2 linked regions of the Tamandua tetradactyla genome follow. The main gene of each other region encodes a partner of the protein of the gene in region 2 in a complex. Links are inferred from orthologs where the notes say so. Each region holds a gene or a part of one and is shown on either strand. Other genes may lie near its edges. The genes, in order: ARL6 and BBS7.

What was found.
Region 1: the proteins of BBS7 (region 2) and ARL6 are in contact, whole or in part, in a cryo-EM structure (PDB 6VBV), measured with the Bos taurus proteins. The link is inferred for Tamandua tetradactyla from reciprocal best matches to the Homo sapiens genes BBS7 and ARL6. Residues at the interface, in NP_001178275.2 of Bos taurus: Leu3, Ile249, Val250, Gly251, Asp300, Gly301, Tyr302, Asp303, Thr319, Glu320, Pro321, His323, Lys324, Glu325, Ser326, Gly327, Pro328; in NP_001069250.1 of Bos taurus: Met132, Asp133, Arg135, Thr139, Ser140, Val141, Ser144, Trp157, His158, Ile159, Cys160, Ala161, Asp163, Lys166.

Annotation. Positions count from the first base shown.
Region 1 is NC_135336.1:52,249,468-52,257,396, forward strand, and holds the start of ARL6 (ADP-ribosylation factor-like protein 6), read right to left. Parts: upstream 3,013-7,929; 5' UTR 2,485-3,012; intron 1-2,484. UniProt on the Homo sapiens protein: Involved in membrane protein trafficking at the base of the ciliary organelle. Mediates recruitment onto plasma membrane of the BBSome complex which would constitute a coat complex required for sorting of specific membrane proteins to the primary cilia.
Region 2 is NC_135348.1:46,866,947-46,875,181, reverse strand, and holds the start of BBS7 (BBSome complex member BBS7), read right to left. Parts: upstream 3,195-8,235; 5' UTR 3,096-3,194; coding exon 3,060-3,095; intron 1,744-3,059; exon of another isoform or gene 302-1,743; intron 1-301.

The sequences.
Region 1 (7,929 bases), on a different chromosome or scaffold from region 2:
GGGTTTTCTATAAATAAAGACAAAGAAACCTAACTGACATATTTATCCTTATTTTCCTTTAACATATAGTCTTTGTAAGTCACTACAAATCCATTTGGAAAACAATTTATGGATAAATACACATATACACATAATTTTATTAGTGTTTACTAAATGTTTTCTTAACTATAATTTATCTGAAACACCCTATTAAGTATTATTTTAAAAGAACTTTGATTACTTATCATATTACATCTCTCAAGTACTTTGAAGTTTCTTTGTTAACTTGTCCCTGAAGTATTCATTTGTATGTGTACCAATTCTTTAGAAAAAAAAAATCCTGACAATGCATACTTCAAAAAATTCCATCAGCAACCCAAAGACAGATGTATTCTGAAGTTAAATAAATCTGTTGCTGACATACTGCTTGCTCTTTATAGTAACTTTGTGTTTGTTCATATACTTCTAAGGAACTGTTAACCTAGACTTCAGGTTTCTAAAGAAATTTCAAAGGAGCTCTTGTTGGGCCTATCACCCAAAAACCTCACTATCTGGTGCGACAAGAGAGATATCTCTTTGCCAGATTTCAACTATTTCAGGGAATGCTACAGAATAATCGCAGTACACCTGTGTTCCAAATATTTCTAGTTACTTTTCAAATGATCATTTTCAAAGTTAACTAAAAATTAATACCACCAGTTGATTTATTTTTATCTTCAGTTAAGGTCCAGTACGCCCATCATCTTACAACTCCTGCAATATTTTTATTCTACACCATCCCAGGCAAGCACTCTTGCAGGATGTGAAACTGCAGCAACTTAACCAGTAAGACACTTGCAAGATAACTGCATCTGAAAGGAGGCTGCACAATCAACATTTTGCTAAGGCCCACTGGGAGATCACTATGGATAAAAATTTCAAAAATTAATTTCAATCACACTCAGAAAACAGAAAGAGCAGTGCTCCACTCAAGTGTGGGGCCTAGGAGAGCAGCTCCAGTTGGTTTACCCAAGGGATGAGTATGATCTCAAGTACTTCCAATTTTGTCATTTAAAAAAATTTATCTCCTTATGCTGGGGATTAAAAAATTAATCCATTTCTTTATTTCTCATTTTAAGCTTTGTCATTTGTAGAATCTGTTTAAACAGACTTCTGATATGAAACAATTCACTCAGACTATCTTAACTCAAAATAACTTTGTTATTGCTCACTTCATTATTGTAAGACATTTTGATATGCATGCTTATATCCTGTCTTCCACTTTCCACAAACTTCTGAATAGATTTTTAAAATATTACAATTTCTTACATTTCTCCCTTCCCCCTTGCATCTACTATAAAGTATATTTTGTCAAAAACCTGAGGTTTTTTATAGCATCTTTTATTGTGCCTTTCTTTCCCCTCTCCATGGATTGTCAAACACCTGATTCTTGCTATTGAAACGTTTTGGACAAACCATTTAAAAAAGAAATCAAGTGTTCTAAAATAAAATTACCTTTATTGAAGTTGCTTTATACACAAGTACACAGCCCTATAAATGTTTCTATTTTTTAGTAGTTATAATTTTCCTTGAATAAGTTTAGTTCTGATGCATGAAAAATGGAAATAAAAGATAAGTCAAGCCACTCAACACGTATTTATAATGTCTTAGTGCACAATAGAGGATACAACAGAGTCTTCTGTGGCTACCTACTCTTGTAGCCATGATATTCAACCCTAGGTGCATATTGCAACCATCTGCTGAATCAGAATCTCCAAGTATTGGACCATGGCATCTGAATTTTAAAAAGCATCTGAAGTGCAGTCACTGTTGAGAAGGACTGGTTTTCAGGAAAAAAAAAAAATCCCAACTTCCATGCACAGCTTTCAAGGTTGTTCACAATCTGGCTCCAATCTACTTTTCCAATTTATATCTTACATTCCCCTCTCTCTACAGACTAGCCTGTAAAATTCTCTTGGTAGTACCGTGAGGAACTGTTTCTTAAGATTGTATGTACCAAAAAAGTCCAGAAGAATTAGAATGTTATCCACAGTTAATGGGATGGAAGGTAAGAGATGCAGAGAGATAGTGGTCCCGTAGAGAAAACTTTACAAAGTGACACTTTTAAAACATTTGTTTAGTGCATTATTGCGCATCCTTATTACACCGAATACACATCTTTATTCGGCTTTCAGTTTTTTATAATAACGTTTTAATTACACCTTCCACACACCAAAATAAAGCACAAGTTGGACAGTATTAAAACCAACCATACAAAATTCCCCAAATCAGCCCAATAAATTTTCTAGGGTCCCGAGTATTCGCTTCAAAAGCCCACTTCTTTTCCACCTCTCACACAAAAGAAACAACTAATAAGCCCATTGCCGTGGGAAAGGGCAATTCTAAAACGGCCTGGGGTGGGGCAGCGCAGGTTGGGAAGAACTGAGGAGGGGGAGAGATACCGGGTCTCTTAGGTTAAGCCTGAGAGCCCAGGAGCAGGTGAGGAACAGGGGTAGGCGCACTCACCTGTATCGGTCTCTGGTGGGAATTCGGCCCAGGGTTCTCTCAGCCTTCCTCTCTAAGTCCCCACAGAAAGGACGTCTGATCCAAAACGAAGCCGCCTCTAGGAGCTGGGTGAAACGGTACTCCTAGCCGTAGTCTTAATCTCAGCCTCAACCTCGGCCTCGGCCTCAACTGGAGCATCAGGGCTAGGGCCGGCGCCTACGCGCTGGGCGTTCCCTTGGCAACAGCGGCTTCTTCCGGTCCCGAAGCTCCGCCTCCTCGGGTGTGTTAGGCGATCTCCGCTTTGCTTTGGGTTCTCGGACTGAAGAGCTCCCGAAGGAGGCTAAAAGCAGGCCTATGAATTCTATTAAAGAAGGTCTGAGCACAGATGGTTGGATGAACTGTCACAGACCCTTGAGTGGGCGGGCGTGTAATCCCCGGGGGAGGATGATGGGAGTCGTAGGCGCGCGCACAGCCTGCTGGGATGCGATCCTGCCGCTGACGCCTGGCTTCTGGTTCGCCGCTTCGCTTGTGTGTCTCGGTTCTGGTGTCCTGGAGCCTCTAGGCGATGTCAGCCCCCAGAGCTGGGCGCTCGGAGGTGGGGCAGGGGCGGGGTGTGCCCTGGGATCGCGGAGGAGTCTGTGCGTCATTCCCGGGAACAACACGGCTGTGTCCATTGGGCAAGATGTGCGCTGGGATTGCCCTGTACGTTGCACAGACCCTCCAGCTGCCACTTGATGGGTTGCATGGAGGAGTCCTGACTGTGCCAGGCCTCCGAGTCAGGAGTCTTCAGAAGTAAAGCTGTGAATATAGGTACAGATAGGAGATAAACTGGTGTAAAAGGTCAAAGGCATTGTTGGTACAGTGGAAGTAAGCCTTTACCCCTGTTTCGTAACTTTCTGGTCTCCGAAAGAGATTTCCTCGAGGTGTAATCTTTAATTAGGTTACAGGCCCCAGAATTAAATCGGCAGGTGGTTAGGAAAGGAATTAATCTGAATGCTTAAAATTAGCCACCTTCTTCAATTGTACTGGGATTTTATAATAAATGATCTTCAAAGTAAATATAAAATATTGTCAGACTTTTAAAAACGCTTTAAAAAATATACTTTCCAGCAGACAGACCACAGATACAGTGATTTTTAAATCTCTGTTTTTCAGTTGTTCAATCTGCCCTGCCTCACTAGCTTCATCTTTAGTAAATGGCTTTCATGACTTAAATTTCCCTTAAGAAGAATTTTCATCTCTTATTCCCCTTGTTTGCCATGGATGCGGTCATTTTTCCCCTTCTTATTAGCTAGTGCTGTTTAATACCTATCTGCTCTTTGGCCTATGAATATGACTTATTAACTGGATTAGGAGGATGAAAAGGATATTAGGAATTGCACCAAAATAATGATGAGGTGGGTGAAGGTTGAACATGTATGATTGTGAAGTGCTTTTTGTTACTTTTTCAAATTTTTCAAATGTGGTTATGATATTTTTACAATTAAAGAAGTGGTTGCAAGATAGAAATCGTTCAAACACAAAAAATTTAAAAAGTCAAAACTAAACGAATTTGTAGTTGTATTTGCAAAAGTACTGGCTTACAAATGTTCTTGTAAAAAATGGAGTATGGAAATATATTCTTCCTGAGGCCTTGGGCCAATTTAACCCTTCTTTTTGTTTGGCTTCTTCACCGTCAAAAAAGATGATATAGATCTCATCTGCTTGTTTTGAAGATTAAGTGGACCATAGGGGTATAAATCTTTGACACATAGTAGGTGTGCAATAAAATAATTTCTCATCTTCCTTTGTCTTGAAATTTTTATTACATGGAACCTCTAAATTTGACCTAATCCTTAAATGTGTTTCTTTGACTTCTGACCCCAAAAGACATTTACAGGAGGTGTTAATCATTTTTCTGTACAATGTCTGTGGGCCTTAAAACTCATTTTGTTAAGAGTTGTAAACAAATTTGCTTACAGTCAGAATATGACATTTTCCCCCTGCTTATAACATAAGCAGATATCCTATGTTCCAGAAAACTTTTGGGGACAGAGTTAATTTATTTCTTTTGAGAGTTGATATTTTTTGCCCATTGGTGAATTGTTTTGCTTACTAGTGAAAACTGGAAATATTATGATGGGGTAGATTAGGCATCCAACTCTTCAGTTAACGTAAGCCGATAACATAGGGTTTAAAAAAAATTAGCTGAACAAATTTTAGTCTTAGATACATATAATTGGTGTGATGACTTTTAACATTATTATTAGAGATGAGATAGTGGTCATGAAACGCAATTTATTTCTAGTTTTCTAGAAAATGGCAGCTTTTAAAGCATACCTTAAAAATCTTAAATATTTCATATGGTCAAATCTTCTGGTTTGGTGTTTTGTCCACTGAAACTTCCCTCAAAAGTACACTCAGAGGCTCTGCATAAAAATTGTTCCACCTGATTTAAGAAGTTAGTTAGGTTCTGTTCATTTTATTAGGAGAATAATAAGTTTTACAAAAGCTACTTAAAATACCCGAGGAAGAGAAGAGAGTTTCAGGTACCTTATTACGAGTTTTAATTCATACAGGCTTTTGGAGCTGTGGTGGAAGAATTATGAAAGAGATGAATGAGATACAATGAACATAGTGCTCTTCTGATTAATCCAAGATGCTTTTTTCTGTAGTCTCTTATGGTCATCCATTAACTTTTATAAGAATATAGAAAACCCAGGATTTACAATTTATTGGAATATTTTTGAATGACATTGATAGTTTAAAGCTGTGTCTGAATATCTGGATGCTATTCATCTTTTTTTGATCATCTGCATTTTGTGTACTGTATTATAACCTCTGCAGTGAACAATTTAATTCACTTAAATATCATAAAATATTTTGCCAATATAAAATCCCTAAAAAAAATGTTGTATCAGTTATTTATAGTGATTTATATGGATTGTTGGTCACAATGTGGATGTGTCATAAGCAGTGCATTTAAAATTCCATAGTATGCCCAAGAATAAAATGCAAAACTCTTGACCTTAATGACATTATTATGAAAAATAACAACTGTGAGTTTATATCCAGAATTACTAGTGTCTAAAGAGCATCTCAATTTAATAGACTAAAAAATAAATTACATTAAATACATATCAATAGAGCATTATAAAAAAATCACAAATTCATCCACCAGAACTGTAACTTTTATTTGCTAATAGATATTTTAATAAACATGTTTACTTCAGCTGTAAGACCCTGATAATGCTTCTTATGAAATCATAGAAAAATAAAATAACAATAATTAGTAATTTGTACTTTGTACAAAAATTTTATTATGTTGCTCAGCAGGTAGTTTTGCTAAACACCATATTCTGCAAATAGATGACATATGTAATGCAATTCACCATAAGCAATCCTTCATGTTGAGAGCTGAGCATTCTATAACACTATTAACTTGTAAGCATGCCAGCACATGAAAATTTACATGGAACATCATAATATTATTGTAAATTTTTATAAGATGAGAATAATACCACCTTCAACTAAATCTGGACTACTTCACTGCTATAGTAAAGTAGGTGATAGGTAGATTGCAGTTCAGTGGTGAACACTCTTACACTGTGTTTCTCTACCTTTTTGTGATTATAACCAGAAAAGAGAACAAAGGCTGTGTAAGGATCCTGAGTGAAAGACATATATTGAAGTTCTAAATGGTGATATAATGCCATAGAGAAAAAATACATAGATCTGCACTTCCTTATTCTCCCAAATTGAGATCTTTTCCCCTCTTGCAAGAGTACAGTGCTAAAATCCATAATTAATATAAACGGCTTCATGGCAAATTATACAGAGGTACATTTTTTATCATACACTTATAGAAAGGAAAAATATTTTCAGCTGCAGTGCAGTTTTTCATTAGTCAAATATAACTGAGGGATTCAATGTCTCAACCTAGACACACGTTATCTAGGTATTTTTATATAATGTGCTCTTTCATATTAATAAGCTTAGGATTTGTGCTACAAATATTTTTGTAACTATTATCTTGAATACACTGCAACTGTATATGTCATCTACCATTTAAAATTTGACATGGCCATTTAAATATCTAAAGTGTTTAATCAAATACATATTTATATGTACACATACATCTTTATATTTTATGGCCATGCTAGAACAGCGGAAAAGTGGAGAGCAAATCTTAGTCCATTATTCACAGTCTAATTTCACATCAAATCCAAAAGAAAATTGCATCATTCAATGCCAACACATTGAGTTAACACCTCTCTAAGCACCAAGCACAACCTAAAGGACCAGATCCTTCCTATAGGTTAGGGAAGGGCACAATGAACAAAACAACCATATTGTTTAAATAAGAGAATGTACTGATCTTTTTCATATGACAGCAAAGCAAAAGAACTGTTTTACTAAATGAGTAGAACCTGTTTTTTTTTTTAATTCATATGGAGGCTCAAACACCTTCAAAATAGTGTTTTGAGAAAAACTGACAGCTTGAACATGTAATAGACATCTTTCAGGATTAAACAAATTTTAATTTTCAGACGCTCTGAATTATGACAGAATAATTACAAAATGTTTCTTTTTCCCCTACAATATGCAAAATCAAATAAAAGAAATTGAGAAGTATCAATGGCATTGAGATGTCCTCACCAAATTTGTATATTATGGAAAAGAGGACTCTTGTCAATGTTCTTGGAAAGCACAGAATTCAGTTTCAGGTGTTCCAAATTAAGATGTCTCAGAAATATTTACTAAACGTGTCTTAAAACATTTTTTCACAATAGATTTTTCCCTTATAGCATATTATATATGTATATATACATATGTGTGTGCATACATCCACTTTCCCATTTTCCAACTATTTATACCTCTCCTCCAACTTGTACTCTCTTTCCACCTCCCAAACTGGTTTTATCTACTGCTGAAATATAGCTACTCGCATAGTAATACCCTTCTCTACCACAAATAGCTACTTGCATAGTAATACCCTCTCTACCACAAATCTACTAACCTATTTGCATATTCTACATTGCCTTCCTTTCCATTGGAGTTCTGTGGGGTTCTATGTCCATTCTATTTAAAACTAACCTCTCTACTTGTGCTCTGAATCCAAACCTCTCTGCTTCTCAAGCCCTTCGCTATTATAATTATGCTTTCTATCGCATAATGTTATCCCTTCTCTATGGGATCATTCTCATTAGTATATAATTATGCCTTAGTATCCTTTATCTTATTAGAAAAGTAAAACCTCCTCTTGGCCCCACATCTCTGTCTTGCTACTGCCCTATTTCTCTTGCTCCCCTAGTGGTAAAACTTCAGAGTTGTTTAAACCAACTCTGCCTTCTTTTATATATCTTCTTAATTCACTCCGAACTCAGGCGTTTATTTCCCTACTGGCCTTGTCAAGGTTATCATTGACTTCTGTGTTACCAAATCCAGTGATTATTGCTTTGTTCTAATCTTGACTTTTTAGAAATA
Region 2 (8,235 bases):
TGAAAGTAAAAGGACAACCTACAGAACGGGAGAAAGCATTTGGAACCAGCATATTCCATAAGGGGTTAATATCCAGAATATATAAACTCTTACAACTCAACAGCCAAAAGACAAACAACCCAATTTTAAAAATAGGTCTGTTCTAGTTTGCTAGCTGCCAGAATGCAATAAACCAGAAATGGAATGGCTTTCAAAAGGGGAATTTAATAAGTTGCTAGTTTACAGTTCTAAGGCCGAAAAAATGTCCCAATTAAAACAAGTCTATAGAAATGTCCAATCTAAGGCATCCAGGGAAAGATACCTTGGTTCAAGAAGGTCAATGAAGCTCAGGGTCTCTCTCTCAAGTGAGAAGGCACATGGTGAACACAGTCAGGGTTTCTCTCTCATCTGGAAAGGCACATGAACACAGTGTCATCTGCTAGCTTTCTCTCCTGGCTTCTGGTTTCATGAAGCTCCCCAGGAGGCGTTTTCCTTCTTCATTTCCAAAGGTTCCTGGCTGGTGGACTCTGCTTCATGGTGCTGCAGAATTCTCTGTTCCCTCTGAATCTCTCATTCTCCACAATGTTTCCTCTTTTGCAGGACTCCATTAAACTAATCAAGACCCACTCAAATGGGTGGAGACATGTCTCCACCTAATCCAGTTTAACAACCACTCTTGATTGAGTCACATCTCCACGGAGATGATCTAATTACAGTTTCAAGCATACAGTATTGAATAGGGATTAGAAGAAATGGCTGCCTTTACAAAATGAGATTAGAATTAAAGCATGGCTTTTCTAGGGTACACACAACCTTTCAAAACGGCACAGGGTCAAAGACTCAAATTTCTCCAACAATACACACACAAAAAAAAACACATGAAAAGATGCTAGACATCATTAGCCATTTGGGAAAAGTAAATCAAAACCACAGATACCATTTCACACCCACTAAAATGGTTACTACTGAAAACCAGAAAATAGCAAGTTTGTAGGAGAAAACGTGGAGAAACAGGAACACTGCTGGTGGGAACGTAAAATGAAGTACCTCCCATGGAACACAGTGTGGTGGCTCCTCAGAAAGTTAAGCACAGAATTACCATCTAACCTGGCAATCCCACTTTAGGCATACACCCAAAGGAAATGAAAGCAGGGATTCAAATAATGTTTCACATCAGCATTCATAGGGACATTATCCACAACTGCCAAAAGGTAGACACAAACCAAGTGTCCTTCAACAGATAAACAGATAATCAAAATGGGGTGCATACATACAACGGAGTATTATTCAATCCTAAAAAGGAACAAAATTGTGACATATGCTAACAACATGGATGAACCCTGAAGACAGCAGGTAAAATAAGTCAGCACAAAAAGGACAAATATTGTTTGACCTCACTTATACAAGATAATTAGAATATGCAAATGCATAATCAGAAACTAGAATACAATGTGCTTCACCAATTGTAATAACGGTAATACTAACACGAAATGTAAACAGGGAAAACTGAGTGTGAGGACTGGATACATGAGAACTCCACTTTCTTCATGGTTTTCCTGGAAACCTACAACTTCTCTAATTAATAAAAACAAAAAAATGCCATTATTTTTAGCTATTAAGCAAGTTACTTCCTTTCTCTGAGTCCCTGGATTGTCATATACGTTCTACTTCGAAGGCTTTTTATTAGGATTAAACGTATATTAAATTCTTAGACTGAATTAGATGCTCAATAAAGGGCTGCCATTGCTTTTATCATGGTCTGGCTGGTGCAGTCAAGCTCAGTCTAAAGTAATAGTTTCTGGGAGAAGGGACGGATATAAATGGAGATTTGGGCGTTTGCGGTGCAAGGTGGCTGCACCAGGGAAAGGGGGGGACAGGGCCCAGGTGCAGTCCGGGTCGGGGCCCGTCACACGTCCAGGGCACGTCTGGGCAGGTGCAGTCCGGGTGGGGGCCCGTCACACGTCCAGGGCACGTCTGGGCAGGTGCAGTCCAGGTGGGGGCCCGTCACACGTCCAGGGCACGTCTGGGCAGGTGCAGTCCGGGTGGGGGCCCGTCACAGGTCCAGGGCACGTGTGGGCAGGTGCAGTCCGGGTCGGGGCCTGTCACACGTCCAGGAGCACCCCCGGCTCCAGGCAGGTGCAGTCCAGGTGGGGGCCCGTCACACGTCCAGGGCACGTGTGGGCAGGTGCAGTCCGGGTGGGGGCCCATCAGACGTCCAGGGCACGTCTGGGCAGGTGCAGTCCGGGTCGGGGTCCGTCAGACGTCCAGGGCACGTCTGGGCAGGTGCAGTCCGGGTCAGGGCTTGTCACACGTCCAGGGCATGTGTGGGCAGGTGCAGTCCGGGTCGGGGCCCGTCACACGTCCAGGGCACGTGTGGGCAGGTGCAGTCCGGGTCGGGGCCCGTCACACGTCCAGGGCACGTCTGGGCAGGTGCAGTCTGGGTCAGGGCTTGTCACACGTCCAGGGCATGTGTGGGCAGGTGCAGTCCGGGTCGGGGCCCGTCACAGGTCCAGGGCACGTGTGGGCAGGTGCAGTCCGGGTCGGGGCCCGTCACACGTCCAGGGCACGTCTGGGCAGGTGCAGTCCGGGTCGGGGCCCGTCACACGTCCAGGGCACGTCCGAGCAGGTGCAGTCCGGGTCGGGGCCCGTCACACGTCCAGGGCACGTCCGGGCAGGTGCAGTCCGGGTCGGGGCCCGTCACACGTCCAGGGCACGTGTGGGCAGGTGCAGTCCGGGTCGGGGCCCGTCACACGTCCAGGGCACGTGTGGGCAGGTGCAGTCCGGGTCGGGGCCCGTCACACGTCCAGGGCACGTGTGGGCAGGTGCAGTCCGGTGGGGGCCCGTCACACGTCCAGGAGCACCCCCGGCTCCGGGCAGGTGCAGTCCGGTTCGGGGCCCGACACACGTCCCCGGCCCTGGACAGGCGCCTGCCCGCCCCGCCGGAGCCCGCCGCGTCCCTCACGTCCTCACCGGGCGTCCAGGAGGGCGGCGCCCACCTGGCCCCCGACCACTCCCGTGAAGGAAGGGCCGCTCGGGGAGAGGCCCACCCAGCGCGGCGCCCGCCCGCCCCGCGGACATACCTGCAAATAGTCAGTCCGGTTCAGGCTGAGATCCATGGCGCGGGGTCGCAGCCCAGGACCGCCCTGGACCGCGCCTCAGCCCCGCGCAGACGCCCCCGCGGCCCTCGACCCGCAACCCCAGAGGCGGCGACGGGAGCGCTGGGGTGGCGTCAGCGCAGCGGCGGCGTGACGTCAGCACGCTCACCCGCGGGGCCCTGGGCGCATGTACAGCCCGCCCTCCGCCCTCCCAACGGCCCGCCCACGGCTTAGCCTGCTCCAATCAGAGGCGGAGAGGAACGTGAGGCGGGTCCTGGAGACCGCGAGGGCGGTTTCCATGGAGACAGGGAACGCCTCCTAGCTGCGCAGTCCCGGCTGTCGGAGTGGGACCGCTCCTGGGGCGAGGCCAGCATGGATTCCGACCCGTTGCATCTGACACGGGAACGGATCCCCGCGAGAGTCAGGCTCCACCTGCACAGCCGTTAATTTCCAGCCGTGCCCCAGCTCTTAGCCTTAACCCCTTTAGAAAACTCTTGAGTTGAGGACCACGGAGAGCTTTGGTTATGTGAGTTTCTGATATTTGCCATTTTAGAAATTAGAACTAAAATTTCAAAAACTAAATTTACTAAAAACACAATAAAATCCCATTACACAAATAACGTAGTTGAATTAAAAAGATATTTTCTAAAATTAAGAAGTTTTAAAAAGTGCTACTGTTTGCAAATCTATTTTACTATCTGCCTTAACAGAAGACAGTCGGAATCCCAATTCTGCTTCTGCACTCAATCTATTGCTAGAAATTGTTTTTGTTGAAGTATACGAAGAAAATTTTACCCAAATCCAACAAGTAGTAGGTTTTTTAAAGTGTCAGTTGCAGTGTAGAATGTGGCTTCTTTATTCAATATCAAAAATCCAATTTGTTAATATCACCGCAGGTCTCATCAGAAAGTCTTGCAGTATTAGAAAGCTGTCAAAATCAAATGATGGATACAGATTTTCCAAATTTCCAATTAGTACTTGAAAATCTGAATTTTAAGCATAGCCAACATGTTTGTTTTCCTTGAACTGATAGGCTCCCTTCTTGAATTCATGAGATGTATGCCAAATACCCAAGTCTGAAGAATCACAATTTGTCTGGCAGATGTCGTTTCACATAGTATTCAGTGAAAGAGGAGCAAGCTCAGGTAGCAAATCAAATAATGTCAATGTACTTTGGTATTCAGCAGAAGTCCTTTATGCATACCTTCCATATCATCACAATTTAAAAATATATACTCGAGTTGATATTTACAATAAACAATTATTCCTTCACAAAGGACTTTTTTGTTTACTTTTTTATTGTATAATATAACATATATACAAAGCAAAGAAAGAAAAAGCAGTAGTTTTCAAAGCACTGTTCAACAAGTAGACAGATCCCAGAGTCTGTCATGGGCTACCATATCATCATCTCAGATTTTTCCTTCTAGCTGCTCCAGAACACTGGAGGGACAAATATTTTTACCATCACAATCGACTTTTTTTCTTTTTTGTGAAATATAATCAATATACAAAAAAGCAATAAATTTCAAAGCACATTGCAACGATTAGTTGTAGAACAGATTTCACAATCTGGTGTGGGTTACAATTCCACAATTTTTGGCGTTTACTTCCAGCTGCTCTAAGGTACTAAGACTAAAAGAAATATCAATATAAGGATTCAGTGATCATCCTCATTTGTTAAACACAACCTTCTCTGTATAACTCTACCATCACCTTTGATCTTTCTCTCATTCTTTAGGGGTATTTGGATTATGCCTATTCTAACTTTTTCATGTTGGAAGGGGCTATCAGTAATATGGGGTAGTGAGATGGAACTAGCTGATGTTCTGGAGACGCTGGGCCCTCTAGGTTTCAAGACTTATCTTGTCTAGGGACCCATCTGGAGGTTGTAAGTTTCTGGAAAGTTACCCTAGTGCATGGAACCTTTGTAGAATCTTATATAATGCTCTAGGTGTTCTTTAGGCTTGGCTGGAATGGTTTTGGTTGGGGTTGGCAAGTTATGATAGGTAGTAATGTCTCATTGAAGTTTGCATAAGAGTGACCTCCAGAGTAGCCTCTCGACTCTATTTGAACTCTCTCAGCTACTGATACCTCATTTGTTACACTTCTTTTCCCCTGTTGGTCAGGATGGCATTATATATCTGATGGCGCCAGGGCCATCCCTGGGAGTCCTCTCCCATGCCGCCAGGGAGACTTTCACCCTTGGATGTCAGGTCCATGTAGGAGGGAGGGCAATGATTTCACTTACAGAGTTCGGCTTAGAAAGAGAGGGGTCACATCTGAGCAACAAGAGGTCCTCTGGAGGTAACTCTTAGACACACTTATAGGTAGGTTAAGCTTTTCCGCTACCTACATAAGCTTCACAAGAGGAAGCCTCAGGATCAAGGGTTTGGTCTATTGATTGGGGTATCCCTACAATCTAACACAGTATCAGGGGTTTCTCCAGTGATAAAGTTTAATAGTTCCATATTTTTTATCCCAGCCCTCAAGGTATTTTGTCAATATTTTTTGATTATCTGTTTAATATACTCTAGGATGTATCCAGGCATTACATTAAGCTATCTGGTCTCCCTGTGTTTTGATTGTTTAAATGAGCTATCCAGACAAGTAGTGTTAGATTATGTGCTACAGAAAATTTAGTTTCCAGGCAAAATAAATCTTTTTTCCACAAAGGACATTTTTATATGAGCCTTTTTTTTTTGTTTCCTACCAGTGTGTGGCATGATGACTCTAATGGCTGTTAGTACTGTATAGCTTAGAGTCCCTGCTCCCATTCAGGCACCAGCACTATTGCCTGCAATGCCTGCACAGTGCAAATGCAAGCCCAGTGAAAACATAAAGTTAGTCTTAGTATTATTTAGTTTCAAAATATCAAACTCCCTTGGCCTCAGCCTTCCCCACTCCCGCCCTGGGGTCAGCACACGGCTCTTTGGGAACCTCTGGCTTTCGTGACCTAAGAGCTGATATTCCCTTCGCTCACTTCTGTAGGTCCTTCTTTAGTGCTCACAGCGTTCTGCCTTGGACGTAGATAAGTACACTTCCTTTTCTGTCTCGTGTGGGCTATTAGGGGAGAGCTCAGTTCACAAATGATTGTGAAACAAGAAGAGTTAAAACCCTGAGAAGAGTGCTTTTTGGAAGATAAATTATTTCTTGCAGAAGAATAATCTGAAAAAGTTTTGCCTAAGTTCTAGTATATCCCAGACAATTCTTTTTTGAGGCTAAAATAACTCCATATTAAGGAAGGCAACAATATATGAAGATAGTATAGCTGTTTAGCAAGTTGGGAACAATATATATCAATTTTAAATGCCACAGAAATTACTTTAGTGATAAATTTTAGAAGTAAATTGCAACATGAAACCACAGAGGAGATAGGATAAAATATAATTGTATAGAATTATACAATTCTATACAATTTTTTACTAATTCATACCCATTAGTAAAAAAACACTGTGACTACAATAAACAAGTGAGTAAGAAACTAAACATAGTAGGCATTCTACTGTCCCAAAGATTGCAAAAAAGGGTTATGTCACAACCGTGGATACTAAATCCTCCCACTGTGTATTTCTTGTTTCCCTCCTCCCTGGCACTATGTTAACAATTTGAGGGAAATGGTACAGATATCATTATTGCTGTTTATGTGCAATAACAAGCCAACCATCAGAATGTTGAAAACCTGATAAGTGGGCAGAAATTCTTTTTTTTTAATGACCTTTGGGGAGTATGATGCATAGTCCAGGGATGGATAAGACTTTAGAAGCTTTCTAATCCAGTGCTATAATTGCACAAAGCCCTTAGGGATTTAAAATGTGTGTCGTTTTTTCATTGTACATGATAGAAAGGTAATTTTAAAGAAAAAAATTCACAATAAATTGCTATCTAATTAAGGTAGCATTATAAAATTCAACTTTATACAATCTCTACAATATTTACAATAAAAACAAATTGGTAAAGAATAGTTTCCATTTAACAAGTAAAGCTCACTCTTTATTTCACTTTAATCATGTAGAAAAAGTTTATTTTGAAGATCAAATTTATTTTAAAGCATTGAAATGAAAAAATGTCATGGCATTGAAAATTGACAGAAAAAGAGCTTGCAAAATAAAATATTCAGAGTTCTTTCATTCTGCATCCAAAAAAAAGGTAACTTATTATTTTAAAAGCTGTGTTTTGTCTCTGAATGATTAACAAAAGTTCGAACTATTATTTTTTAAACACTTCTCAACTAAGTCGCTAGCAGATATGAAGAGTTTTTATTCTAAATAAATAAATAAATTGCCACCATATTTTCCCTTTGTAAACATGTTTTGAGGTACTAAAAACCAGCAGATGATTGATTGTATCTCAGATGTGGTGAAGAGCACAGGCCTTCAGATCGGTTTGCAGGAGTATCATGCTCCTCGGTAACTCGTCCTTTTACCTTGTGGTGGTCAAGCAGCCATTATGGGCAACCACTAAGCAACTGATGATGAAGAACCAAAGCCATTTAAATTGCCTTCAAGTTAAACCGTAAATACGTCTAGCGGTGGTTTCCCGAGCGACTGAGTCCTGAAGACAAATTGCCCTTCACTAGTGTGCTCCCTTGGTAAAAATGTGGAAACTTACTTTTTTTAAAAGCAGAAAAACAGCCATTTTAGATTTATTTTTTAAAAAACTAAGGGGAGAAATGGAAAGCATGATCATGGTTGCTCCTTGGGCATCACACCCTGAAACGCTTCTACCCCCGACATCCGGAGCCCTGATGGCGTAAACCGGTTTTGGAAGAACAAGTCACTAAGATCCAGCCACACAATTAATCAACGTAGCTTCAGTTCTCCTGCTCAGTAAGACAATTTCCCTTCTCATTTACAAAAACTGCTTTCACTTGGCTTAGGGATTTGAAATAATATATTGGACATGATTGCATAAAAGAGCTATTCTTAAATGGTTCTCAAATTTATTTTAATAATCACAACATATTCATGTGATTTCTAACTTTTTATAGTGCACAGAACTGTTTGAAGATACTAGATCTTATTTTATATTGTTCCCTATTTTAGGTCTATAAATCCGAGCTTCTCTACATTGTGAACATAATGTCAAGTGTCTTCAGTAAATTTAATGCAGCAGGCACTTAGACAACGCTGAGCTTTCAATACAGTAAGCTTAAGAAACA